2 linked regions of the Caenorhabditis elegans genome follow. The protein of the gene in region 1 interacts with the protein of each later gene in a pairwise test. Each region holds a gene or a part of one and is shown on either strand. Other genes may lie near its edges.

Evidence for each region.
Region 2: the proteins of zyx-1 (region 1) and dyc-1 interact in a two-hybrid assay, tested with the Caenorhabditis elegans proteins (2 studies listed by BioGRID).

The regions. Positions count from the first base shown.
Region 1 is NC_003280.10:13,053,502-13,061,261, reverse strand, and holds the start of zyx-1 (Zyxin), read right to left. Parts: upstream 4,111-7,760; coding exon 4,066-4,110; intron 2,464-4,065; exon of another isoform or gene 2,443-2,463; intron 2,066-2,442; coding exon 1,781-2,065; intron 1,706-1,780; coding exon 1,622-1,705; intron 1,576-1,621; coding exon 1,235-1,575; intron 1,206-1,234; exon of another isoform or gene 757-1,205; intron 637-756; coding exon 360-636; intron 1-359. Other genes in the region: azyx-1 (Alternative N-terminal open reading frame of ZYX-1), read right to left, coding at 1,633-1,705, 1,781-2,065, 4,066-4,167, 4,254-4,294. UniProt on the Caenorhabditis elegans protein: Functions both as a mechanical stabilizer (via LIM domains) of focal adhesions, and as a sensor component for muscle cell damage (via N-terminus).
Region 2 is NC_003284.9:14,045,901-14,052,726, forward strand, and holds the start of dyc-1 (Dystrophin-like protein 1), read left to right. Parts: upstream 1-3,634; 5' UTR 3,635-3,771; intron 3,772-3,927; exon of another isoform or gene 3,928-3,948; intron 3,949-4,914; 5' UTR 4,915-4,927; coding exon 4,928-5,044; intron 5,045-5,264; coding exon 5,265-5,336; intron 5,337-5,872; coding exon 5,873-6,027; intron 6,028-6,072; coding exon 6,073-6,181; intron 6,182-6,826. UniProt on the Caenorhabditis elegans protein: Together with dys-1 and hlh-1, participates in a common muscular function.

The sequences.
Region 1 (7,760 bases):
GTTGGTATTTTTTATCTGGCCGCCCGTGGAAATCTATTTTGGGTTTTCAACAGTTGAAAGATAATCGAATTCTTCAAATCCATTTTTTAAGGTTTCAAAGGTTCTTAAATTTTCAGTAATCATTGATCATTCGCTTAAACTAAACAAATCTCTTTCACTAGAAGCAGAGCACACAAATAAACGCTCTCATCAATCAAGGCCTCCCGTTTTTGTCTCCCCATCCTCTCCACTTCTTTCCCCCCTTCTGAATTGAATGGACATGGACTTATCTCGATTTGATTGAAGAGTCTATCCACTCTAGATGCTTCTTCTTTTGGAACTAACAATGAGAACACAAAACTACGACGATGACAACTAACCTTGACAATTTGCGACGCATCGAAGGGAATCGAAGAAGACGCGCTCAGAGCACCTGTCTGATTACGGTTCGCGGCTTTTTGTGACTCGGTGAGCCCCTCGTCGCGTAGCTGCTTTGCCAGGGAATTCTGGAGGAAAGTTCTTGCTTGAGTCATTCGTTGATAAAGATCTGGTGGTGGTGGAGGTGGTTGCTGGACTTCTGTGACGTAGTTCGTTGTCGAGTACTCGTGGATCATTTCTCGAGCGTTGCGGATTGGGGACTGTGAGCGGCGGATTTTACTGAAAATTCGAAGAATTAGGATGGCTTCCACCCCTGTCAGCCGCTAAATATAAAGCAGTGGCTGAAATCCCGTGAGGGGCCGGCTGCTGTCAATAAGGCATCGGTCGCCACTGTTAAAGTGTGTAATAAGATATTTGGCTGAAAAATCCCGTGAGTTGTCGGCTGCTACCCATTAGGTAGTGTTACCTATTAGGTTCTGGCACATCCTATGGAATTCAGTCTGTATCTATAAAATATCAGCCGCTACCCGCAAGATGTCGGCTGCTTCTCATAAGGCTTCAAACAATGCCAGTGAAGTGTCGGCTATTACTCAATCGAGGTAGACTAAAACCCAGTCGGCCAACACACAGATATTGGCCTAAGAACCATTCGGTCGCTGTACATGCAATGCTAGCCGCAACTCACGAGGTGTCGGCCGCTAACTGTAAGGTGTCGAGCGCATCTCACAAGTTGTCAAAAGATACCCGTTAAATGTCAGCCTCTTGGCCAAATACCTGTGAGGTGTCGGCTGGTACCTATGAGGTGTCGGCCGCTATACATAAAATGTCGGGCGCTAACCATAAAGTGTTAATTTTCCAACAACTAAAAAATAATTACCTTGGATCGTAGGGCTCCGACCACTGAAGAACCGTCTCCTTATTGCCATATTTATTCGAATTATTGTTCTCGTTTAAGCTATTGCTTGATGTTGTGGTGGTTGCCGTAGTTGCCGTGTTATTAAAATAATCGTCGTCCTTGTGATAGCTTCGGAAGTTTGTAGGATATGAGTGTTTAGAAGAATATGGAGACACATAAGTTGCCTCACTATTACTATTACCAAATGATGGAGGCGACGGGGACTTGTTTGCGTATTGAGTTAGAGTGGATGATGAGAATTTATTGATTGGGCTATAGTTTGAAGTTGGGGAAGTACTTGATAGAAGAGCCTCTCGGGATTGCTGGAAAGTTTTTGATTTTTTTATGAGGACCGATGGAATGTAGTACCTGGAATTGGCTTAACGCATTGGGGTCTCGATGAAAGTCGCCGAGCGGACGAGGTTGGTTGGAATAAGTGGGCGGAGAAGGAATCTGAAAATTATCAGAATTTTAATGACGCATCAGCCCGGGAGTTGTCGGCTGCAACCTCTCTAAAAACCCTCTCACCTCTGCTCTGGTTTTCGGCTGAGCCAATTGTTGGAGGTTCGCGCGATACGTCCGATCTCCGTCAGGCAATTGTTGATGCGGTCGGTCCAATCGTCCATCGGATAGATTCTCGACGTCACCTCGAACCGGTTCGTTGTAGCCGGTCTTACGCAGACGTGCTGCGGCGTGCTGTAGTGCCGAAGCGTCCACTGTGGGACGGGACGGCTTGGGCGGCGCAGGTGCGGGATGGTTGTTACGTCGTGGTGCATCCTCTGTCTTCCATTTGCGAGATGGTAGTATCTCTCCCTAGAAGTTAATTTCTTACTTTTGGAAGTAAATAGTTATATAAGATCATATCACATTTCATATTTTAGTTTCACCCGACTACATTACTTTGAAACGCTATATCTTGGTTCTTTTTCAAGATACCAATAATTGTCAAACTAAAAAATGTAGAAAAAGAACTAAAAAACATTTTGACAGTTGACAATTTTTGAGTAGAGCAAACGACAACTGAGTTATAGGCTCTCAAAGTTGTAAAATTTTTCAAACTAACCAAATCTGCCAAATTTGAGGAAAACAATTTTTTTAATTAAAGGTCGGTAGATTTTTTGCTTTAAATGACAGAATACTGTCCTAATATACCGATTATAACTGTTTAAAATTTAAAAAAAATTTTAATTTTTCATTCACGCCCAAACTAATTGGGTTTTTCTTTATTTTTTTTCTTTATTTTATAATTTGAAACATATTTAATTTTCCAATTTTTCAGAAATTTTTCCGTAAAGAAAACTATATAATTGCAAAGAAAATTGCCAAAACTCTGAAATTGGATTAAACTTTGAAATTGGCCAAAATGGAGACTAATATAGCGGGAAAACACAAATACCGTATTTCTTCTATTAATATAGCTGCAATACTATTTTTCGATGGTCTTCCCGCTTGCAATACTAATAGGGAGTGCAAGACTATTAGGGAGTGCAATACTAATTTTCAGAACATTTTCTGACTTTGAGCTTACTAGTTTTTTCCTGAAAAAGCTCGAATCATATGTAAAAATTCTGAAAATTTGATTTTCATATAATTTCAAAAACTTCAATCTCGTAGAAATGATGTGAAAACTGTTGCAAAATAGGCAAAAATGTTGTTGAAATCCTGAAATTAGCGAGACGGGTTTGCAATACAAAAAAGTTAACGCAAGACTATTAGAGAGTGCAAGACTAATAGGGAGTGCAATACTAATTTTCGGAAGGTCTCCGAGGGGCAATACTAATAGGGAGTGCAAGTCTAATAGGGAGGCCATATTAATAGAAGATATACGGTATGTCGAAAATGACGTCACTCAGTTGCGCGGGAATTTAAATTTCATTCGGCCCTTTTTATTATTTTTGCAAAATTTTAAAAAAATCATAAAAAATTTACAAAAATTTTATAATTTTTTTTACTGTTATGTATGGTATATTGGGGATGTATTCTGTCATTTTTTTCTTTATTTTTCGAAAAAACCCTCATTTCCGCTGGATAAAAAAAATTTGCCACTACGATTATGGTTAGCAATAATTTATGGTTTTTCAAGTGATTAATGAGAATAATTAAATGCCCAGGGGTGCTAGAAGGAGCACATAAATTACCGTATGCAAATCGTTTACCTTCATATGCAAAATGTGCTTTGAATTAATAGAAAGGGTATTGTCTAGAGCGTGGGAAGTGAAATAGAATTCAGAACGACTCTAAGAGCCGGCAGTTCAGAAATAAATTAACGATAATTAAACCCATCTGCCTCCAAAAAGCCAAGATTTTAAATTTTGAAATGTCTATTTCCACGTGATGTCAGGATGTCTCATTACAGTTTGATCTACAAAAATGCGGGAATTTTTTGTTCGGAAAAATTGTGATCTACAAAAAATGCGGGAATTTTTTGTTCGGAAAAATTGTGATCTACAAAAAATGCGGGATTTTTTGTTCGGAAAAATTGTGATCTACAAAAAATGCGGGAATTTTTTGTTCGGAAAAATTGTGATCTACAAAAAATTCGGGAATTTTTTCAGAAAAATTGTGACGTCAGCAAGATCTGCGAAATCAGATGAGATGTCTGCGTCTCAACTCCCGCACTTTTTGAAGATCAAATCGAAATAAGAAATTCTGACAATCCCTGAGCTTTTGGGGGTTTTATCGAGCTACCGTAATGGATAACATACATAATTTTTAAACCTCTCTCCCACGCCATTGATTTTTTTTCAAACTTTTGGCCTAAAAAAATTTCAGAACATTTTCCAATTTTCTTTTGCAATTTCAGTTCAACTTACGGATGGGAGTAGAGGGGGTGGTGGAGGCGGAGGCGGGGGTCCCATAGATCAGTAGCGGATGCCGAGTCTGGAATAGTGCTGAAGGAGCGAGCACGACCCAAGCTGAAAGACACATATGTTGGAGGTCAGGACACAGAGCAAACAATTTAACACAACAAAAACATGAAGAAATGAAAAAAAAACGATACCTTTGACTAGGATAATGAGGAAGTGGTGAGAGGTAACTCATATTAGGATGTGCGACCTGGATGGATAGAGAATGTCTGGAGAGCGCGCCTCGGTGTGGTGTTTAGTATGTTTAGAGTCTTGGGGGCTCCGACGGACCCCGAGGAGCTGCATGCCACAGGAACCCCGGGCGAACCGCGTCGGCGTCTCTTCACATCCTTACGACTCTCTCGCTTCATCCCGGCAGGAGCCCATTTTACACTTTGGCTCACAAAATTCGACTGATGGCAGGAAAAATAGAGAGGATATGGGAGGGGGGGGGGGGAGATTACAAAAAAAGGAAAGCGAAAACGAGGGATAAGCGATGAACAAAGAGGAAAAGAGATAAGCAACAACATCTGCTATTGGAAGATGATATCAAAAATTTCGTGTGAAATCCACGTGGCAGACAGGAAATTGGTGGCTGATAATTTATAGGGGAGAGGGACCGGCAATATTTAAGTTATGGTTGGAGATTATACAAAAACCTAGAGTTCACAGCGTGGCCTAGAAAATCTAAAACTCATTATTTATATTTTAGCAATTTGATCTTAAATAGATCATTTAGAGTTCGAGGAAATTACCCTATGTGTGTTAGCGGCCGAGTTTTCTCATTTTCGCGGCCACGTATATTTTTCTCGGGTTCTAGGCCATGACTTTCGGCTCAACCTAATCGTTTTATATTTCAGATTTTTTTTTTAAATTGCTATTTGAAAGCACAGATTTAGATCAAGCACAAATTTGTGATGTGGCCTAGAAAACAGATAACTCGGCCATCAATTAAATTTTTCAAAAAGTTTTCCAGATTGAATCTATAAGGTGTCGTCTACATACAATTCGAGAAAAAAAATGTTTGTAGCGTAGCCGAGTTTTCTTATTTTTTCGGCCACGAATATTTTTGTGACGTCATATTTTCAAGTGGGCCTTGTCGGGTTCTAGGACATCACATTCGGTTTGAATTTTTTTTTTCAAATCCGAAATTTGCCTAATTTTATTCTGGAGCACTTTTTTTATACGAAAATTGAAGTTTAATCTTTCTAACCCAAAACTGTCCGTCATTTGTGGCTTGGCCTAGAAAAAAACGGGAAAACTGGGCCATCAACATATATTTTCTTTATTGCTAGAGATGATCTTAAAATAGCCTTTTACAGTTAATGAAAAGACCCCTTTTCATCCTTTTTATAATTAATTGTTTTGTGGCCGATCTTTCCCATTTTAAAGCCAATATTAACTTCGATTTATGTGATTCTAGACCATTCTAAAAAATTAAAATTTTGAGAACTTTGAAGTTTTTAACTTCAAAGAATTTTTGTATTCAAAAAAGTCTTCCAACCCCAAAAAAAACTGTCATCTTTGAAGCACAGAACGCCATGCAAACAACGATAAAACATTGGAAGAGCGGAAAGAAGAAAAAAACCGACGCGAAAAAAAGTCTGTGGTTTTATGGATGGTATAGTTGTGCCCAACCCTCTCTTCTTCTCTTTTCACAGGAATTTTATGGGCGGTTTCGTGGGCGCAATCATGATCATTCCCTAATATTTTTTTTTTTCTACAGAAAAAAAATATTTTAAGAAAAAAAACTTTTGGCTGGAATTCGTGAGAAACAAAAATTGAAACAAAAAACAGTTGGTGTACAAACATTGAAAAGAGGAGTCTATGTATTTTTCGACTTATTTTAACTGCCTGAAACTCTTCCTCTTTCTGCCTAGAATAACCGGAATTCTATGCAAGCAAACAGGGTAATAGGTGAATCACATAGAACTTTGAACTTTGTCAGGAGTTCGCAGGGGATTAGATTCTTAGGTGGCTTATGGTGTTTTTGTTTTGGAAATTTGGAAAATATGGGGTAGATGGCTGTAAAGGTAAGAAAAAAAAATGTAATTAGGATGGAAAGAAAAAATATTTATAAAAAATTTAAAAATAAAACTAGAAATCAATTTTTAAAAATAAACCTTAAGAATTCTGTCATAGTTATGGTGAAGGTTTGGAAAAAAAGCTAATTGTCAAAAAATTGTAGGAATTTTTTTTGAGAAATTTGGAGAAATTTTTCATGTTTGAATTTCTAAAAATTTTGAATATGAGTAAATAAAACAAAATTCAATAAAAAGATTTCGTAGAAAAAAAACAATTTTTCCAAAACACGGAAATTTCCAAAATTAGGAGTGGCAAAAGCTGAATAATTTTATTTTCTGAAATTTAAAAATTTACAATAAATTTAAGAATTTAAATCGTACAATTATTGATATTTTATCTTGTATTTTTTTTTTAATTTACAATTTTCAATTTTGAAAAATGTGGTTTTTTTTTTCGAAATTTTTCGGTATTGTTTTAGGCGGGAAAATTTTTCAAAAAAATAAAAAAATCTAATCTAAAACGTTGCCAGATTATTTGAAAAGTTGAAACAAAATTTCGTCAATTTCGGAACTAAATTAAAAATCTTGAAAGAATTGAAAATGCTGAGTTTTTTGAGAAATTTGGAGCGTTGTTGCATGAATAAAGTTCCACAAACCGAATAATTGAAATATATAATTTGAAACAATATTTTTTTGACAAAAAAATCCAAAGAAACATTAAAATTAAGATTAGCGAAATTTAATAAAGATTGAATATTGCAACTGTATTTTTTTTATTAGGCAGGTTTTTTTTTTTAATTTTTAGTTTTTGGAGTAGCGCCAGTGGGTATTTTATCTGAATACATTTATAATGATCCAAAACAACCGAATATCATAATAAAACGCTCCAAAAAAATTTCAGATTTTTCATATAGTTTTTGCAAATTGCCAAAATTTTGAAAAAATGAGCTTTTGAGGAAATCCAAAGCAATGTCGCACGTTCCACCTCTACAATGTTTTAATATAAATAATTAAAACAAAATTACAGTATGAAAAATGTAGGAAAAGCATTCTTTTTTGGTCGACTTCCAAAATTATGAGTGGCAAAAACTGAGTCATTGCCATTTTTGGACAGTTGAAAATTTACAGGCTTTGACTGTATGTAGATCAAAAAATGTTCTTAAAAAATGTGAAAACCTTTTTGAAAAATTATTCTACGACATACGATATAACAAAATAGTTACCCAAAATAACGGGTACATTACTTACTACAACCTCCCGGTTGGGGGTTGGTGACCGGGGATTAACCCAAAAAAAACCGAATTGTTTTTGTAAATTGTGTGTGACACGGAAAAAGAAGCGGAAAACTGGCTTATCTATATTGAACATCTCGGTTTTGGACACTGAACCACATTATTACTGTATTCAATTCAATAGAGATGTGGAAAAAAGTGAAAGTTTTTGGTATTGGCGGGGCGGGAAAAGAAAAGGGATAATTGGAAAATTAGGTGCGAGACTTTTGCTTGGTGGAAAGTGAATTCAGGTCGGGGCTTCGGGGGAAAATGAAAGGAAAAATGGTCAGTGATAGTGATATGCAATTTTGGAAAGATGATCTATAGATATTAAGTGTGTGCGCGCACGAAACACTGATACGAAATT
Region 2 (6,826 bases), on another chromosome or scaffold:
TCCCCACTTAACAGCATATGTTTATATTTGATTTTTAACGCTGAAAATGTATTAATTTCAAAGGCCAAATCCAGAAAACATAGATATTCTAGGATTTTTTCAATTTAAATTTTAACTGAAAAATAATTAAGTTGAAATGTAGCAATAACCTCCGATAACTTTGAAATTCGAAAAAAAATATTTGCTTCAGTTTAGAAAATTTCCATTTAAGCACTGTGCGCTGTAAAAATTGAAATTTCATCAGTTAACGAAAGCTTTTAAACAAACTGAAATTTGTATAAAAGGTTTAATAACATGAGTTCGAAAATTATTTTCAGAAAAATCATTTCTTGCAAGAAAAATCGTAGTTGGCTAAATTTCAATTTCTCCAAAGGACACCTTCAGTGCAAGTTTTATACACGAGGCGTTTTCAATTGAACTATCAACTTAAAAATTACAGCTTTTCGAATAAATTGTAGCAGCTTCCTAATATCCGTTCAGCCTAAAATAATTTTCAAAAAAACACAGATCCATGTTTTTTGGTTAACATCCATATTAGTACTGAACAATGTCAATTGCACATACGAAACGCGAGTCTTGACACTATTGTCTTTGTGAAAATTGAAAATGCTCATTTTCCTTCCTCTTTTTAACAATTTCTGTCTTTTGGTGCCAATCTTTCGAGAGTCACATGCCGTACATTCTGGAAATGAAATTTCGTATGGACTCTTGAACGTTTTTCAAGTAGCTAATCAACGACGTCTTCTTGTTTAGATTGTTATTCCTCTGTTTCCTTCTGTGCGCTTTTTCCTTCTTTTTTTTCTTGTCATCCAAATTTCGTTGTTCTCAGATTTTTTTTTCTGAAACTGGTTGAAATATGAAATTCTCGAAAAACAGGTTTTTTGAATAATATTCTTGAAACTGCGATAGTTGAATCAATTTGGAGCTCGGTCATTGTATTTCTTTATTTTAAAAAAGTTTAAAATGTATTTGTGCAGCATTTTATATTGTGAGCACGACAAAATACAATTTTTTTAACCCATATAATAAACGCCTAATTAAACACCACAATATTTATCAAAGAGTGATAATTTAATTAACATTGAGTTCCAGACGCTGCGACGCCGAGAAGTTGGGAAAAAAAATTAATTTTAGCTGAAAATGAGCTTTTTTTCCAGAATTTTCAATACGTCTCATTACAAAATTCGATAATTTTTGTGCAATTTTGGGTCTAAAAAATAAAAGCCTCAGATTTTGGTGCTTAACCTTCAATGTTTAATAAAATATAAATACCCTCAATATTTGATTCATTTAGATTGTAATAGGTATTTGCACAATTAACCGTTTTCTGAAAATTAAAATTCTGGTGTCAAACTGTAACATTTTTTTAAATATGATATATAACATTGACGCTGCAAAAACTGAAAACTAAAGGTCTATCCTGGCCTCATCGTATTATATGTACTTACAATGCAGGGCTAGACTATTTTGAATTTGGCTATCACAACTGGAACTCTTTCAGTATAAGTATAATTTTGTTATTTTTAAATTACACAACATGATCTTGGCCCAAATGTTTTTGAAGTTGATGGTTCCACATCTAATTCTGACAAACATTCCAATCCACAAAAGTTAATCCAAGAACTGCCGAAAAACATGCAACTCTGCTTCGTTTTCTATTCAGACGCCTTCCGAAGACACATTACATCAAAAATGTTGGCGGAAAAAGGCCAACGCAAGAAGACGAAGATGTGGTAGATAGAGTAAGATAGAGTAAGTTTTTGGAGCAAGGCTCCCGACAAAGTCAGTCACAATAAAAAAGAAGATGTGGAGGAATAGGATGAGGAGGAGCGGTGACTCCTCTCCATCACTCCAACAAATCTAAACTCTTCTACTCGGCAATTCTATCAAAGAAGGAGATGCGCATAAGTCAATCAGCTACAAGTGCACCCATACATGCACACGCATGCTTCCTAAAATCACAACTAATTGCGCAAGACAAGACGATGAGAGAGTACGGCACACACGCAACCGCTTCTTCGTTTTCTTTTCCCCGCCGACCGCTTTTCTCTTTTTGCCCCTGTTTTGTCCTCCATTTTCCGATTTTTTTTTCTATTTTCAAATCGATTAGGAACTGAGTGATAGTGTGGATAATTGCTTCCAATGTCGCAGAAGAACGGGTGATGAGACGATATATAAAGAGCAAAACTTGCATGCTTTCATCTTGATTTTTGTTGCGTTTCTTTCAAATTTCTAGAATATAACTTCGTATATTTGCTCTAGTGCATTATGCTACTGCCAATATCTAAAAAAAAGTATGGTTTCCTTTTTTTTGAAATTTGTTTCCCAATCGCAAACTATGTGTAATTTTTTAATTCATATAGTTTTCCTAAATAGTGAAGCTTTTTTTTTGTTTTTATCATGTTTCACATTGACATCAACATGTAAATAAATACAGTTTTTCAGTATACGAAACCACGTAAAATAATTAACACCACATTTTTTGTCACAATGTTGGAAATTCAACTGACATTAATTTTTTTTTGAATTATTTTTAGATGCATTGCGATAATGGTTTGGTATGCCATTCTACTTGTACCAATCCGAAATGTTTGATATTGCACTAATTTTCCTTGTATCATTGCTTTTGTAGTGAATACTATCAGCTTTTTTCAACTAATCAATCAGAGAAACGAGTTTATAAGAGTTGTGTCACTTGGTGTCAGAGTGTCCCATTTTGGTTTGATCTACGTAGATCTACGGAATGTGCGGGGATCTAGACGCAGACTTCTCGACAGATTTTTTTGGCATTTTTGAAGGTGTGCTGACGTCGCCTTTTTTGTAAATCAAATCGTAATGAGACCGCTTGCCATCACGTGCTGTGTTAGTAATAATGGTAATTTTAAAAATTCATATGAAAGCATGGAACTACTTGAAAAATACAGTAACACAAGTTTTGTATTGTATAATATATATAACATTACATTTATTCATTTCAAATCCATGAAAGTAGAAATATCTTTCCCCCGCACTGACAATCATATTTGTAGCCGTTTTGTAGGCGCCCCTCCTCTTTTTTTGCGTTTTTATTTTATTTTTTTCTCTCAACACATCTTCAATCTTTATATTCCTATTTGAAAACGTCTCCAGGGAACCTCGCTCATCGGTCTCCCAACCAACCAATTTCCAGTTTTGTTCGGCTCGCAACTTCTTCTATTTCTTCTGTCCCCCCCCCCCCCCCCCCCCCCATCATCCTAAACTTCTTTCCCTCCTTCTTAACATCGGCTTCCGTTTTCCTCCTGTTTCCATTCTCATATTCAATTTGCGGACGGACTTTTGGTCAGTCCACTTTCCTTAAAAGTCCTTTTAGCTACACTACCTACACTTTTCTCTGCATTTGCTCTTTTGTTCAATACTCCCTTATCCGTTTTTCCTCCAGGAAAATGATCAGAAGCAAAAATATTTGGTTTTAGTGTTTAAAATTGCGTTGCCGCATGAGTTATTCATTTCTTCTTTCATTTCCTCTCTCCCCCATCTACTTGGCCCATTGTTCCTCATCATTTCTCATCATCACTCAATTATTTTTCCTCGTTTGCTCTTTTTTCATAGTGTGCCCTTTTTGTCATTTTTAGCAGCTTAATCACTGAGTTTTCAGCGAACCTCACCTCTTCACCCAACGTTTTCCAACGTCACCACCAGTTTCAATACGATATCCAAATTGTCCTGATATCGGACAATTGCTTCGTAGTATACTGGCTCATGGTAGCTGATATACTCGATATGCAGTTGAAGGTTTGATACGGTTTTGAGTGAGCGTTTTTTTTCAGAAATGTTTAACAAGTGTTTATTGTCCATTTAGAAACGGAGTAGCATCAGTAGGAAAGTTGTTTAGGGGCTGAAAAGTCAGAATATGAAACTAACAATTTTCTTCAAAGTGCACAAAAAATCTTTGTTAATTTACAGTTGAAAGCATAGTAATTTTTAAAATGAATTTCTAATAGTGTACCTAAAACATGGACTAAAATATCAATACATTCGGAAAATTGTTGAAAATGTTATCTCTTTTTCTGCTGATTTTCAGCATAAATAACATTCTGGCACTACTTCAACTTTTGTTATTTTTCCACCTAGGGCTGGCCATCTGGACGTCCGCCCACATGGAGTCACCATGGGTGGCAAAATAAGGTGGAAATTTTTTTTATCACAGGAATTAGGGGAGCTTACATCCTGACATTTTCTGGGTTCCGCTGCTTACTATAGAAACGCACGCATTATCACAATGAGACGCGGAACACAAAAAAATGTCGGGATATACGCTCCCATAAATCCACGAATGTTCAAAACCGAACGCCCGATTGTCCGAAAATCAGTACATTCGGAAAGGCCAGTCCTCTGGATTACCAGCCCTATCTTAACCTAACAAAAAATTGGTTTTGAAACCTCATGGCCTTTTCTGCGTGAAAATAGTTTTAAAGTCCAAATTTTCTTTCTGATAAAATGTTGTCTTGCGTAGTATCATGTAAATATTTTAATTTTCATTATTTTCATCTGCACGAAAACATTTCGGTCAAGTAGAAAGTGCAAAAAAGATGTATTATTACGGAAACGCAATCCAGTAATATTATTAATAAAAAACATTTACAAACCAGAGGCTCTGTACTTTATTAAAATTGACATTCATTCAGTTTTTTTAAACATGTTATGTTTATAACAAGGAATTTGTAATCGACATACGTCCTCCCGTACTAACAGCGATTTGCCGAGTGTCTAATACCACTTTGTTTTTGATTATTGTTTAAAATTCACTTTCTTCAAAACACCCATGTTTTTTATTGCTGAAACCATCTAACATCTTGTTTTACTTCTCTAACCGTTTTTCTTTAATACTTTTTTACTAACATTTCCACCATTTCATCATTATTTCATATTTTACAGAGGTGAGGATATAATGCCTGTGCGGAAAAAGCATGGTCCGTACGATATCATCGCCGACGATGTCTACGACTGCCGTATTCCACTCCATAACGAACTCGCTTATCAGCATGGTATTCATTTCGAAGCAAAGGTTTGTGAAAAGATGTATTCGAATGTTTGTACAACGCTAATCTTGTTTAAACGAACATTGAATATTCTGAAAAGCCCGGAGGGTGTAGATTAGATTGTCTTCAAGTTTGGTCCTAACGCGTTTGCAAATTTAATCATAGTGGGAAGTTTAGTTTTTTTTTTCTTTCAAAAAGAAAACAAAAACAAAACTACTGGATTTAATCCAAAAAGGGTTTTTGCAGTATGTCGGAAGCATGGAAATTCCTAGACCCGGGACGAGAATCGAGATTGTGGCGGCGATGCGACGAGTTCGAGTGAGTTTTTTTTATAAAAACTCGCAAATAGAGATATATTCAAAATGAGCTGAAATTTGCAATTGAAAATTAGTAGTATAATCTAAAATTTGTATAATTACATGGTTGCAACATTATTATTAGTAGTGTAGAAAATAGAATCGTAATACTTTGAAAGATCATAATTTATTGAATTTTTTACAAATTCTACACTTGCTAGTGTTTTCTTCTCTACAATTTTTTCGTTTGTTAAATCAATCAATATTAAAGTCAGTAAATGCTAGGCGTTGATTGAATAATCTGCCACACTGCAAAAAAGCTGATACTTTTTTACCTAAAACCTATAGTCGTATCTAAAACTTTTTTTGTTGATTAAGGAAACATAAGCAATCAATATTTGAACAAGCATATCATCGATGTGAATTTGAATTTGACCGTGTCATATTTGTTGATTTTGACTGACTTTTTCTTAAACAACCAAATTGAAGTGTTTGAAGAAAACGCTTTTGAAAATCTATTTTCCTAATTCCTTGATTATTGAATAAAACCATTTTCAGTACGAATTCAAAGCTCGTGGTATCAAAAAACGCCCGGTCGACATTACCGTATCCGTCGATGGTGTCAAAGTTGTTCTTCAGCGGAAGAAACAGAAAGAGAAAGGTCTCTCTTGGGATGAATCTAAATTACTTGTCATGTTTCACCCAATATACAGGTATTGTTAAATTTCTGTAAAATTGTTATTGTAAAAATTTTGAAGGATATTCTACGTGTCACATGATTCTCAAGATCTTCAAATATTTTCCTACATTGCACGGGATGGAGCTAGTAACACATTTAAATGCAATGTATTTAAGTGTTCTAAAAAGGTTAGTCATTATTTTCAATATTATTATTATTATTATTGAAGTAGTACTGTGATCAAATTTTTTTTTAGAAAGAGCGTCGAAAAAGTTAAAATGTTGAATTTTTTGTATATGGTGAAACTATCGAATTTGAAAATTTATGTGGTTTTCAATTAAGTATGTATTACATGAATTTTTTTTGAATAATATTTATAGAAATGAATACCGATGTTTAATCACTATACAATTTCCCAACGCGTTGTTAATCAGTTCCCACAGGTGTTACATTTCCGAAACTTCCCATTTTCGAGAAGTGGCGGAAAAACTGATTTTGTTCACAATTTAGAATATTATCCGACTCAAAAATTTTTTTTTCATATTGGCGATACTACTCTTGTAATTCTGTAAATGCCCCTCAATTTGAAAAATTGAATTGTCTACACACTTGTCCACACTACCCAAACATTTTTCTACTATCAAGAAAATGCAATTTTCATTTAAAAAACTACAGACCTTGCTGAAGATTTCGTGATTTAAGATGATAATAAGCTCTAAGACTCATTCAAATTTTTTGTGGCAATAAGTATTTTTCAAACGTTTTGAACAAAAATTATCGAAGAAAGAACAAATGATAATCAGAATTACCATGCAATCCTAAGTATTTTCACA